2 linked regions of the Arabidopsis thaliana genome follow. The protein of the gene in region 1 interacts with the protein of each later gene in a pairwise test. Each region holds a gene or a part of one and is shown on either strand. Other genes may lie near its edges. The genes, in order: HB6 and LRB1.

Region 1 (6,442 bases):
TTTCAATTGAATCCAAAATCGAATCATAAGCAAACGTAATTTCAAATTCCGAATGATAAACAGATCTAATCAAAAACTATCAATTCAAATTCAGTGAAACAGAGAGAAATACAATTCAATTTGATTACCGGGAAGGCAAAAGATGCGTCGAATCGCACCGGAGAGTAAGCGACGCCATTTTCACCGGAGTTTTGAAGAGAGAGACGACGAGCTTCGAAGAGACTGAACCACCGCCGTAGAATATCACTGTGTGTGTTTTTCGCCGGTGATATTTTTTGGTGTGCTGACGTGGCAGTTGTATAGATATTTTTCCATTTATGGGTAAGCACGAGCGGAACGGCGTCGTTTAGGAATTGAATACGATGTCGTATTAGGTGGAAACACAAATCCCCATTGAGATCATCTTGTGTCGGTGCCTTGACTCGTTTTATTTACGTTTCTATTACACAAAACGTTTTTGATTGGATAATGATTTTCTTCACCAAATTTACACCTTACTTTACAGTTTTCCTCTTTTATTTTTTTTTATAAGAATGGAGCATTGTATCAAAATAGAAAATCGAGTAGATTTTGTTGCATTTTTTTTTTTTTTTCTTCAAACACCATTTATATTAAGTTATCGGGAAGAGACTCTCCGCTAGAGAGAGCCATTTAGGAACCAATGTGCTTACATGGGAAAAAAGGCTATTGCGAGCCCGAGCTTTCTTAGCTAAACAATCTGCTCGAGTATTAGAACTACGAGAAAGAAATCTAATACGAAAAGAAGGGAAAAAACAAACTAAAGAACGATATGAAGCCAATTCCGCTGCAAAAGTCAGCCAATCGTCTTGGTTATCAAGGATAGCAATCAAGTCTGAGCAATCCGAAGCAAAAGTACCAGAAGTATCACCAATAGAGATCATGCACTCCATTGCCTATAACAAAGAGTTAAATTCCGCATGAAGCGGTGATAAATTTCGACGAGTGCTCTTAAGGCCAAGGTGGATGACCAAGTCTTGTCGAACAAGTACCCAACCATGCCCGCTCAATGTGTCATCTACATGCCATGATGCATCGAGTTGACATTCAGGGAGCAAGGTGGACGGGGTCTGAGAAGAACCTACGAACACGATTGGACGAGTGGAATCATCCTCTTTTAGAGTTGCTTGTTTCCAAACAGCTGTCTCTTGAAGTGCCAAAACCAAAGTTTCAGGGGGAGGTTCCCTGAAGTTCTCAAAAACAAAACGATTTTTACTTTTCCAGATATACCAAATTATCCATGGAAAGAGTTCCAACACCTTTTCTCCAATTCCAAATTCTCGGTCACGCCAAAAAAGGAAGTCGAAATTATAGAAGAGAGAGTTTCTAGGGAAAATATTCCCTGAGGTAGGAATAGGCGATAAAGCCCAAATCTGTCTCGAAGGTGGACAATGAAACAATAGATGGTTGATTGTCTCTTCTACTTCTTCGCAACGGGGACAACCTTTATCTGTACCCATATGGCGATATGTCAATCTTTGACAAGTGGCTAAACAACCCGAGATACATTGCCACACGAAATGCATAAGCTTCCGCGTAGTTTTAAGCTTTCATACTTGTGCCTGAAGTGCCGAAACACCTGGTCCCTGAAAAGGGGGGTCACAAGTAGGACGAGAAAGATCTCTCGCGACCCAATATCCTGACTTAACAGTATAATTACCGGATTTAGTGTGAGACCAGCTAAAGCCATCACTCAAGTAGGTACGACTTGGGCGAATCCCTAAAATGAGTGGAATATCAACGGGATCGATCAGTGCTTGGAGACGGTCCAATTTCCACAAATTTGTGTTTTGGTCAATTAAATCATTGACATAGAGTAGAGAATCTCTTATGTTAAGAATGCTCTTTGCAGGCCGCGCTAGGATAGTGGGAATCCATGGATCTTTCCATACGCGAGTCAGCATTCCAGAACCTATGGTCCTCCGAAATCCAAAGACAAGAAGAGGTTTGGCGCATTTTCACCTCTAAAATAAACACAATTTCATGTTGATATTAAGGTTGTTAGTTTCGATCCAAAAGAATTATTTTGACTATAGTTAAGATGATGTTATACCTAAAAAATATAATTTACATTTTATAAAGAAAACAAACTAATTATATTATCAATGGATGATACCGGATATAGGAACTTATAAGGTGAAAAAAATCAAAGAACCAAAAACCCAAAAACTTTCCAAATATATAAGAGAATATAAATATGTTTTGGAGAATCAAAAGAACCTAACCCAAATAAAAAGAAAGCAAAAAACTCACTCTTGTTGCTGTCATCGAGGCCCAACAGCTCTTGTCTCATTTTTGCATTGCCACGAAAGTCATCACCCTATAACTTTAATTTATAAATTTTTTAATGGGTTAGAGAAAATAAAAAACGCATATAATCCAATTATTACAACTTTAACAAATTAAAGAAGACATGATGATTAGATTACCATGCGAATAAGACAAACATATTTTGTAAAATGTTGTCAAAAAAATATCTCTAAAGCATTCATGATTTTAGCATTTAACAAAATAATTCTGATAACCAATTTTGTTACACACTACTATAAAACTTCTAAACACAATATTGTGATGTTATAATAACTTTTACATGGTGAATAGACAATTTCAAAAGATTAATAAAAAGAAAACTCGATTATTCAATTTTTAAAAATAGATTATTAATTTAACACAGAGATTCCTTTCCACGTATAGCTTGAGTGGAGCTGAGCCGATTAGTATAAGCCGAGCCATATTATATCCGTTTGAGATTAATTTTATTTTAATTGATTTTTTAATCTTCTCTTACACGAGTTCCAGTGATACCGGAAGAAACCTGGAGGTAACTGGGTATAGCCGGTGGACCCCCTCAAATTTATTTTAACAAAAAAAAAAAAATCATTTACAAAAGAAAACACCCAAGACAATATCTACTTAACCATGGTTACTTTCTAACCCAACCTTTGAGTTTATTTAAACTGAGAGAAAGTGTGAAACCAAGCTTGTTCATATGGAAAACGCTCATCAACCTCAACAATCTCTCTCCTCTCTCTCTCTGTATATAGAAGAATCTCCATTGTCTTTAATTTCTCTCCATTTCTCTTTCTCTCTTCCTTCAAAGTTTTCTCTTTTCTTGATGGGTTTAAGAGAGTAAAGATCATCAAGTACTATGCATTAAATTGAGAAGTTATTAAAAATTTCGAAAGTAATTAAAGATTGTTGATGATGAAGAGATTAAGTAGTTCAGATTCAGTGGGTGGTCTCATCTCTTTATGTCCTACAACTTCCACAGGTACTTAGCTAATTTTCTAAACAAGTCCTTTAATTAATCTCATCTTTGTTTGCTAATTGTTCTTCTTATGGAATTACAGATGAGCAGAGTCCGAGGAGATACGGTGGGAGAGAGTTTCAGTCGATGCTTGAAGGATACGAGGAAGAAGAAGAAGCTATAGTAGAAGAAAGAGGACACGTGGGCTTGTCGGAGAAGAAGAGAAGGTTAAGCATTAACCAAGTTAAAGCTTTGGAGAAGAATTTTGAGTTAGAGAATAAGCTTGAGCCTGAGAGGAAAGTTAAGTTAGCTCAAGAACTTGGTCTTCAACCTCGTCAAGTTGCTGTTTGGTTTCAAAACCGTCGTGCTCGGTGGAAGACAAAACAGCTTGAGAAAGATTACGGTGTTCTTAAAACCCAGTACGATTCTCTCCGTCATAACTTTGATTCCCTCCGCCGTGACAATGAATCTCTCCTTCAAGAGGTATAAAAATTCAACCTTTTTGATAAAAGATTGAAACTTTTGTTGATTCAAAGTTAAAAAAATTGAAACTTTTTACCAATCTTGAGATTTACAAGAGAATTGAAACTTATGGTTTTGGTTTGATGCAGATTAGTAAACTGAAAACGAAGCTTAATGGAGGAGGAGGAGAAGAAGAAGAAGAAGAGAACAACGCGGCGGTGACAACGGAGAGTGATATTTCGGTCAAGGAGGAAGAAGTTTCGTTGCCGGAGAAGATTACAGAGGCACCGTCGTCTCCTCCACAGTTTCTTGAACATTCTGATGGTCTTAATTACCGGAGTTTCACAGATCTACGTGATCTTCTTCCATTAAAGGCGGCGGCTTCTTCATTCGCCGCCGCAGCTGGATCTTCAGACAGTAGCGATTCAAGCGCTCTGCTGAATGAAGAAAGCAGCTCTAATGTCACTGTGGCGGCTCCGGTGACGGTTCCAGGAGGTAATTTCTTCCAGTTTGTGAAAATGGAGCAGACGGAGGATCATGAGGACTTTCTGAGTGGAGAAGAAGCTTGTGAATTCTTTTCCGATGAACAACCGCCGTCTCTACACTGGTACTCCACCGTTGATCATTGGAATTGAAGCTGAAAACACCACCGGAAGAGATTTTGGATTGGATTAGATGCTCTTTTCTTCTCTGTGGAAAAAACAGAGGAGGGCAAAATGGGAATAAAGTTAAAATTGAAGGGTGAAAGGGCAATTAAGGAAGGGTTAAGTCTGGGCGGGAATAATGATTTAGGGTGAATTTGTAATTATGCTTTTTCTCTAGTGATTTTCGTGCACTTCTTGTAATTAAGGATCATCAGATCAAAGAGAAATTGAGAAGGGGTTAACATGTCAAAGGCAAAAATTCAGCATGGGCTCTTTAAATTACAATTGACCCTTGAAACCTAAATTATACCACTTCTGACCCTTAAATCAATTTTTGAATCATAAAACTACAGTGTGACTTCGTGTATTTAGTTCTAGTGTATTATGGGATTTTTTTCAAAGAGAATGCACCTCAAAGTCTCAGCTTTAAGTCTAATGTTTGGGTAAAAAACACACCGAACTTCAGATCCAAAACCTCTTGATAGAAAAAACAAAATAGATGTGTTATACACTTTTTTTTTTTTTTTGAATCTGTTAAATATACTTTTAGTGTAGTTTGTTTTGTGATTTGAATTAAAACTTTAGTATAAATCAATTTATTACATTTTCGATTACCGGAAAGTATTCATGTCATTAAGGTTTATTTAGTTCAAACTAATTTTTTTATTTCATTCTGTCTTATTTGACCTATAAAATCTAATTTAGCTTAAAAAGGTATTGTCATGTACCACTAATTTATAATTACTAACTTATATACTTTAATTAGTGATATAAGGTGAAACTTAGCAGTAATGACAACAAATAAAAGATGAAGATATATACTTAAAGGCGGTAAAAGATGATAATAAGAATCCGACCAAAAAAAAGATGTGATAAATAAAAAATAGATTGTACAATAAGTTTTAATAATATTTTAAATAATCATAAAATAAAAAGAAATTTGTTTTAATATTTTCTTACCAAAACCTCAACATAATATAGTAAAAAGCCAATAATACAAGACTTTGTACCGTCAGTTTTTTTATGATTTATAAGACCTAGATTTATAATATAATTCAATACCACTGTTATTTACTATAGCTTTGATTGATAATTTATTTGGGGGAGAAACTTTGACAAGAGAATTGGCACGAGGTTATGAAGATTTTTGGAGAAAAAACATTGACAAGACGAAAAAGTTGTTGCTAAGATACAGCTTCCAAAATGCGATTTATGCCATCAGAAATGAGCGAAACAAAAAAAAAAGACATGGAGAGCAAACTTCCCATCTGGAGATGCTAGCAAAGATAATAGATAAACATGTTTGAAACCGTCTAAGTACCATGAAGTGTGTTAGAGTAGAAATGCATACAAGCAAAATTTAAGTCTGGTTTGCGTCTATGCACTAGTGAAAGAAGTTGTGTCTCATTTAAAATGTTTCAAGTAATTGGTAATTATTTGTAAAAATGTGTATTTTTTTGAATATAATTTAACACTAAATTCAAAAAAGTAAAAAATAATTTGGGGTATACCTCTTAGCATCTTATAGTGATAAGTTTTTTTTCTTAACAATATGCATTATACAGATTTAAATTGATGTAGTAACACAATGACTTCATTAGTAAAAACCTAAAAACTACTTCATTATAGAGGTTAAATTCCTCAAAACTGTATAATGTTATTATTTAAACACTATCATTAGGTTTGCTGTTCAGATTTGATTTGATTCGAATTCGAGTTGTCTCGGTTTGTGTAACCAACAGTGTATTGATTGTTAAAGAAAACTAATTATGCTTAAAGGTAAACCGGCAAAGCTTTGGACCACCTCGAATAAGATCATTATAATAATAATACCGGAATCTTCTAATTAATTAGAATTCTTAATGCATCTTTGATTCTTTATATCTTTTTTACTGTTAGATCAACTAAAACATGTCGATGATCAGATCTTCCTATAACATTACTGTGTTAGATTTAACAGTACGATGTATATAATTTCCTGTGTTTTATATTCAGTTATTCACCTTTCTATAGTTTAATCACAAAGCAGGTTTCTTGTGATTGGGCTAAAGACACATTTATGTTGTGAATT
Region 2 (7,436 bases), 9.5 Mb from region 1:
TGAGAGTCAAGAAAAGTCTAGAACTTTCTCGAAGAATCATCCGAGAAATGTGAATGTGATGATCAGGGAAGATAATCATCGTACTCTCAAGGATAAGCTGATGGAAGCTCGTGTAGAAAGTCGACGTTTACGTTCTTCTTTGAAACCAGAGTGATAATTCCGGTTCGAGCAAATAATTAACTCGTGTCTTCTCATGTATGTTGGATTAATTATTTGGTTGTGGTTAATATTAATGCTCGTTAGTCGTTAAAAAAACTAAATATTTTAATTGTCCCAGTGACAGAAACCAATTTCACATGAAAAAAGGAAAAAGCTAATTTTGTCAACAGTTCACATATATTGACATTGAACACAACTCCGGTTCGACAAAAAAAAAGAACACAACTCCGGTCAACTATTTTTGGCAGTTGTAATTAAGAACAAAAAGATGTAACTTAAAGAAGAGACAATTTAACCGATTAGTTCAAATCTTTGGTCATCAAAAATTCCACAAGTTTTAAGAAGACTGATTGGTGATTAATAAACGTTAAAAAAAAAAAAAAAGCCAAGTCAAAGATGTGTCGGTAATAGCGATTGACCAAACTCTATCTGTTTTAGAGCATCATTAATGGTAGTTTCTTAGCATAATTTTAATATAGTTTTTATGAATATTTTTATAATTGATTTTGAAAATTCTGAAGTTAAAAACTTGGTTAAGAGATTGAAATTTAGGCAATATGCAATGGTGGAATCTTAACTTGGAGTTCTTAAAAAGAAAATTTGAAAAAAAAAATAGAAACATTATAATTTTAAAAAACTTAATAGTTATTACAACTCATAAAATTTAAAACATACATGACATAAAATTTTAAACAAATATGACAAACAATTCTATTTAATACTTAAGTTATCTAAAAATTAAGATTAATTAAATTAAAATATTATATTTAAGACCTAATTTATCTAAGAATTAACTTAAAAAACATTAGATTTGGCTCTTATATAAGAGCTATTCTTAACCATTAATTGAATTATAACATTAAATTTAAGATCTACTTTATCTAAAAACTAACCTAAAAAACTATCAATAATGATGGTCTTACGAATGCCTAGATTCTCTTCAATATACAAAAAGTACGGTTTAGTTATTGTTTGGACATTTGAAATCTAACTAATTCTCTTTTTAGTCTTAATGCAATGGAATTGCAAATACTCCATAAACCATAGTGTTGCACCCTAACCGTATCTCTCTCTAAAAGAGAATCTAGTCAACAAGATTATGTTTAATCTCTAATTAATGACAATAAGATTTACTGCCAAAATAAATAAATAAATAATAATAATAAGATTTACTGCCATTTATTCTTCTATATTTTTCAATTTTTTATTTACACTTGTTCCATAATCGTCCCAAGGAGTAGACTAGGGTTGATGCTCTTTCATCTATAAAACGACTTAACACAACATGTTCTTTCACATCATCATCATAAGCCTCAACAATCCATCACCATACATATTAGATTCTCCCTCTTTCCATAGTTTATTTTTGGTTCGTTTTATTGTAAAAAGATATCAAACTCTTTTTGGGGGACATTCGTTCTTCAAGTGTAACAGAAGGAGCTCCCTTCCTCCAAAACGAAGAGGACAAGATTTGAGGAACTAAAATGCAGAATCTAAGAGTTCATGTCTTCCTCATAGAGAGTGCGCGGTGTTAAAAGCTTGAAGAAAGCACACTTTAAGGGGATTGCACGACCTCTTAGATTCTCCCTCTTTCTCTACATATCATTCTCTTCTCTTCGTTTGGATTGAAGGGAGCTCCTTTTCTTCTTCTCTTAATTAGTCTCTGTTCTTCAAAACTTGGTTTCGATCTAACTTGTTTTCTTTTTCTCTAGTGCATTTTTTTTTTCAGGTTGTCATGTTTATTTGCAGGTGTTTGTGGTTGATGCTTGCATGGAAGCAATATTAATGTTGTTTATTTACGAGAAGACGTTCGTGTGCCAATTTGAAAATATGATATTAATGGAAATACAGATTAAAACTGACAAATGTATAAATATTTCTTGTTCCTTGTTTTAATTTTAACATTAGTCGTGTGTTTGTCGTAAATACGAAGGGGACATTTCACCTAAAAAAAGAAAAAAATATATTCATCAAAACTGGTCTTGGATACGTTTTTAGTTAAAACAAGAACAATAATAAAGTTAGGTTTAACTTCGATCAGATCGAAACAAGTACACTATAATTGTTTTGGTTTGAGAAAATATACCATCGATGGTTTCAAGAAATAATAGCAGCTGGGTTGCTTGTAGTCGATACGTTAAGTCGTATCATCTCAAATGATCCCTAGTAGTACACAACATAGTCAACTGGTTTGTCATGTGTTGGCCTACGAAGAAATGTATACCGGCCGGATTTCAATTTATAAATTAGTCCTTTTTTTTTTGTCAAGTTATCATTGCATAGCCAAGTTTCACTCGGTCAAAATCTAATTAACAAAGTCTGTAAAACGTTGAAGTAATTGTATTTTATTAAAAGAAAACTCCAAATTAGACTTTGATTCCAACGAATATTTAACGACATAAAAGGCATTGCCGTTTGTTGAACGAGTTGTCTTCTTACCAAATTTGACGCTTTCCAACTAAATACACTCCTAATTTTGCCTATTACCTTTTTCCTCCTCTAATTAAGTAAATGCTAAATTTCCCCCAAATACTAAAAATCGAATCCGATAAGTCAAAATCAAAATCGTACCTACGCGATTTATGCAAAATACCGGAAAAAGAACCAAAGTGCTTATTACAATCAAAAGACCAAACCGGTTAAACAATTAGTTAGGCTGGCATTAACGAACCTCTTTGTCTTTAATTAGCCTTTATCCGTCACCGCCCTGTTACCATAACCGTTCAACGTCGACCCGCTCTTTGTTTCAGAAAAAAAAAACAGAGAAAGACTTTTTTAGTGTTTCTTTGTCATTTTCGTTCCTCAAAAAAACCTTTTCGAATTTGACCCTTATTGTTATCCTGATTCTTCTGCTCGGTTCTCGCCGGAGAGAAGACACGGAGAAGAGGGTTTTCGAAAAGGAGGATGAGAGGTTCCAATAACACCGATCTATTTGACCCTAAGACGGAGATGGATTCCAATTTCTCTCGCCATGGTTCTTCCTCCGAAGGTGATTTTGGTTTCGCTTTCAATGACAGTAACTTCTCCGATCGTTTGCTCCGGATCGAGATCTTGGGTGGGCCTTCGGATTCTAGGTCTGATGCTGAAGGATGTACGAGTATTGCCGATTGGGCTCGTCATCGCAAGAGGAGAAGAGAGGACAACAAGAAGGACAATGGTGGTACGTTTGATTCCCTATCGGTTGGAATCTCAGATTTTGTTGTTGTTTTTATGAATTGTTCTTATGGTTGGTTTAGGGCTTTTGGGTTTAAATGTTTAAGAAACTTATACGTTTTGCATTTCCAGTTGCGATTTCAGACATTGTGGCATGTGCTGAAGAACAGATTTTAACCGATAACAACCAACCTGATATGGATGATGCTCCTGGTGGTGATAATCTTGACGATGAAGGAGAGGCAATGGTTGAAGAGGCTTTATCAGGTACCGTTCTAAATTTCACATTGTCTCTCGAGTGACTGGGTTTGAATTTGTGATACTTAACAATTTTCAGAAGAGCGTTTTTTGTTGAAGTCATTTGTCTGAAACGTGATGGCTTTGTTTATTAATGGTTTTTGTAGGTGATGATGATGCATCTAGTGAGCCAAACTGGGGTATTGATTGTTCTACTGTTGTTAGAGTTAAAGAACTGCATATTAGTTCTCCTATCTTGGCCGCAAAAAGCCCCTTTTTCTACAAGGTATTAACCTTTTTTCTTCTTCTATGTTCTTATTGTTTGCTCTTGTTCATCTCGCATGTAATGCTATCTTTTGCTTCTTGTTTTCCTTACCCTGTTGTAGCTGTTTTCTAATGGAATGAGGGAATCAGAACAAAGACATGTAACCCTTAGAATTAGTGCACAAGGTACGACAATTTAAGTCAAGCTTTTAATTCATTTCTGCTATTCTCCAATCTCTTTATATTGGCTTCAATTCTCTACTAGCTCTCTGTTGGCTTCTTCTTGTTTTGGATTCTTTATGCCTCTTGTATTAACTCAGTTGCTGACTTTGATTTACATATGATATACGATATTAGCTTTAAGGGAGTCCACATTGTTGATTTCTCATGCTCTACTTTTATGTGTATTGTAGAGGAAGGTGCTTTGATGGAGCTTTTAAACTTTATGTATAGCAACTCTCTAAGTGTCACAACAGCACCCGCTTTATTAGATGTTCTTATGGCTGCTGACAAGTTTGAGGTTGCTTCCTGTATGAGGTATTGTAGTAGACTACTGCGAAATATGCCCATGACCCCTGATTCTGCTTTGCTCTATCTTGAGCTGCCCTCTAGTGTTTTAATGGCTGAAGCAGTGCAACCTCTAACCGATGCAGCAAAGCAGTTCCTTGCCTCGCGCTACAAGGATATTACCAAGTAAGACTCTCCAGTGGTTTGAAATGCATTTACTCTAGTGTTGTATAATTCTTGTTCATGTGTTACCATCTTGTACAGGTTTCATGATGAGGTTATGGCCTTACCATTGGCTGGAATAGAGGCGATACTATCGAGCGATGATCTCCAAATTGCTTCTGAGGATGCTGTTTATGATTTTGTCTTGAAATGGGCAAGGGGACAGTATAGTTCATTGGAAGATCGTAGAGAGATTCTGGGTTCACGCCTTGCACTCTACATCCGCTTCCCATACATGACGTGTCGAAAGCTGAAAAAGGTACTAACGTGCAGTGATTTTGAGCATGAAGTAGCATCAAAGCAAGTATTAGAAGCGCTCTTCTTCAAAGCAGAAGCCCCACACAGGCAACGCATCCTCGCAGCTGAAGGATCGGACTCCATGAACCGCCGTTTCATAGAGAGGGCTTACAAATACAGACCCGTAAAAGTGGTGGAGTTTGAGCTTCCTCGCCCGCAATGTGTAGTGTACCTGGACTTGAAGCGAGAGGAATGCGCAGGACTATTCCCTTCAGGAAGAGTCTATTCTCAGGCTTTCCACTTAGGAGGTCAAGGTTTCTTCCTCTCAGCACACTGCAACATGGACCAGCAAAGCTCGTTCCACTGCTTTGGGCTATTCCTCGGAATGCAAGAGAAAGGGGCTGTGAGTTTTGGTGTGGACTACGAATTTGCGGCAAGAGATAAAAGTACAAAGGAAGAATACGTAAGCAAATACAAAGGAAACTACACATTCACAGGGGGGAAAGCGGTTGGTTACAGAAACCTTTTCGGGATTCCATGGACTTCGTTCATAGCCGAGGACAGTCAACATTTCATCAATGGCATTCTCCATCTCAGAGCCGAGCTCACCATTAAACGTTCCTCAGACCTGCACTGACTGTTTTCTTCTCTCTCTCTCTCTATGTCGTCACATTTAAGTTGTATAATCTCGTTATGTAGCAGCTCTAACCACGAGTGTCCTTTGTACAATAATTGCCTAAGGAGCAAAAGTATGGCTTAAAGAGTACCTCATTCTGTAAATTCTTTGATTGGATTTTTTTACTTTTCTATATGGGTCTTTATAAATAGTCCAAGATAGAATTTGGGCCTAGCTTTTGAGGTTAGTCTTAAAATATGGGCTCAAGGCCTACTACGATGCGTAATGATGAAGCTAAATTGCCTATAGTGTGAACATTAGGCTTTTATATTCAAAGTTCAAACAATGCGGCTATAGCAATGGTACATCGAGGAAATAGAATGAAGTGACAAGGATAATTTAGGAAATGAGGATAGAGGAATTGAGTCCTCGTCACATGGGGCCCACATAAATGCGTAAGTAAGACTATCCGCTTACCAGACGGACACGTCATTTTGTCGGGACACGTTTGAGCCGTTGGATGATTAATCTCCTTTTCTGACTTATCGACCCCACTTTTTTTTTCCACTACAAAATATTGATGGCCACGTCAGATGATTCGAAGTTATATAAAACACACGTTTTTATTGCAGCTTAACCGTCGATTTTTTTCTAATCGAGAAACCGAGATCAACGGTCTATATTCAAAGCTGATGTGGTCTGTACCTTTGCTTACGTCACCGAAAACCTAAGTTGAATAATACTAGTACTAGTATTATGCTCTCTGATTTCTTTCTACAGTACACAAAATAAAAATAAACAAAAATAGAGAGCCCAGACAATATTTACTACATCACCCAATGGATAACCGACACGTAGATACATCCATGTGAGTCGCATTTTGTAATGTAGGGACCACTTCGTGGATAGAAGCTCTTTTACGCCAACGCAAAAAAAAAAAGCCTCGTTGGCCCTTTAGCCTCTAAATGCCAATAACTATCTACTGGCGTGGCTTAGTTTATACCGTTGGATCATTTGTTTATCCCAGCCGTTGGATTCGAAGCAGTTGTCGGGCTTGTGGGCCTTTTCTTTATTGTTTTGTTTTCATAATAATGAAAGAAAATAAACTAAAAAAGTATTTTTTATTTTTCCTTTTATGGTGATTCCATGATGGCAAAAACGTGGCCATACACGTGGGTCGTCTCGTGGCACCTTTGGAAGATACGAATCGGTAGTGAATAATGGACGGTTCGGATCTTTAGTTTTGTCGACAGAAGTGCTCTCCGCGTCGGAGATACTACTAGTCAAAGGTCTTTTCTTCCTTCGTATTTTACCATAATGTCCCTTCTTTCTAATCAAATTTTTATCATGTATCCAAATTATTCGAAGCAATATTCTATATAATAAACAAATATGCCCATCGGTAAGTAGCAAAAGTTAAATTGTGTTTATTTTCATGCCATACAAAAATAATGATTCTGAAAATTCGTTGGAAAGATTGTTTAGTTTTCTTATTTTTATGTTGCACATGACTTCACTGACGTGTGAATGTGATGACGGATTTTGAAGAGGATTATACACTATGGTAAATATCGACTATAAAAATAATCTAAACATGAGGGAAGCGTAGAGCGACTAGAAATCGAACACGTGTACGGTAGAGATGACATAAGAAATGGCTGGCACTAAACTCGATGAGCCAACTCATCAAACACCACCGTAGTTTACGCTGTTATATATTCTCATGACACGTGTCTGATGACGTGGTCATCGTCTTGGCGCTCCGTTTTTTTTCTCTCTCTCTCGCGTCTCCCTTCCCTCAAAAAAAAAAACTGAACTCTTTTTCGCTCTGGTTTTTTTAGAGAGAGAGAAAGATGAAAATGCGTTTAATTGCTGTTTAGGTTTCGAATTCGCGATTTAAATTTCTGGGTTTCTCTCTGTTTAAGCTTCTTCTTCTTCATCTTCTGCTTACGTTTCTTCTTCAAGGAGCTTTCGGATTCTTGTAGGTATTGCGTAACTTAAATGGTTCAAATAGAGATTGTTTGGTCGAATAGTTTTGTGA

What was found.
Region 2: the proteins of HB6 (region 1) and LRB1 interact in a two-hybrid assay, tested with the Arabidopsis thaliana proteins (one study listed by BioGRID).

The regions. Positions count from the first base shown.
Region 1 is NC_003071.7:9,524,390-9,530,831, reverse strand, and holds HB6 (homeobox protein 6), read left to right. Parts: upstream 1-2,986; 5' UTR 2,987-3,219; coding exon 3,220-3,289; intron 3,290-3,368; coding exon 3,369-3,748; intron 3,749-3,876; coding exon 3,877-4,362; 3' UTR 4,363-4,844; downstream 4,845-6,442. Other genes in the region: RIBA2 (riboflavin biosynthesis protein), read right to left, coding at 129-178; AT2G22440 (non-LTR retroelement reverse transcriptase), read right to left, coding at 915-1,360, 1,598-1,922. UniProt on the Arabidopsis thaliana protein: Transcription activator that may act as growth regulators in response to water deficit. Interacts with the core sequence 5'-CAATTATTA-3' of promoters in response to ABA and in an ABI1-dependent manner.
Region 2 is NC_003071.7:18,993,048-19,000,483, forward strand, and holds LRB1 (BTB/POZ/Kelch-associated protein), read left to right. Parts: upstream 1-2,597; 5' UTR 2,598-3,063; coding exon 3,064-3,319; intron 3,320-3,444; coding exon 3,445-3,579; intron 3,580-3,716; coding exon 3,717-3,835; intron 3,836-3,935; coding exon 3,936-3,999; intron 4,000-4,226; coding exon 4,227-4,506; intron 4,507-4,584; coding exon 4,585-5,416; 3' UTR 5,417-5,625; downstream 5,626-7,436. Other genes in the region: AT2G46250 (myosin heavy chain-like protein), read left to right, coding at 1-154. UniProt on the Arabidopsis thaliana protein: May act as a substrate-specific adapter of an E3 ubiquitin-protein ligase complex (CUL3-RBX1-BTB) which mediates the ubiquitination and subsequent proteasomal degradation of target proteins.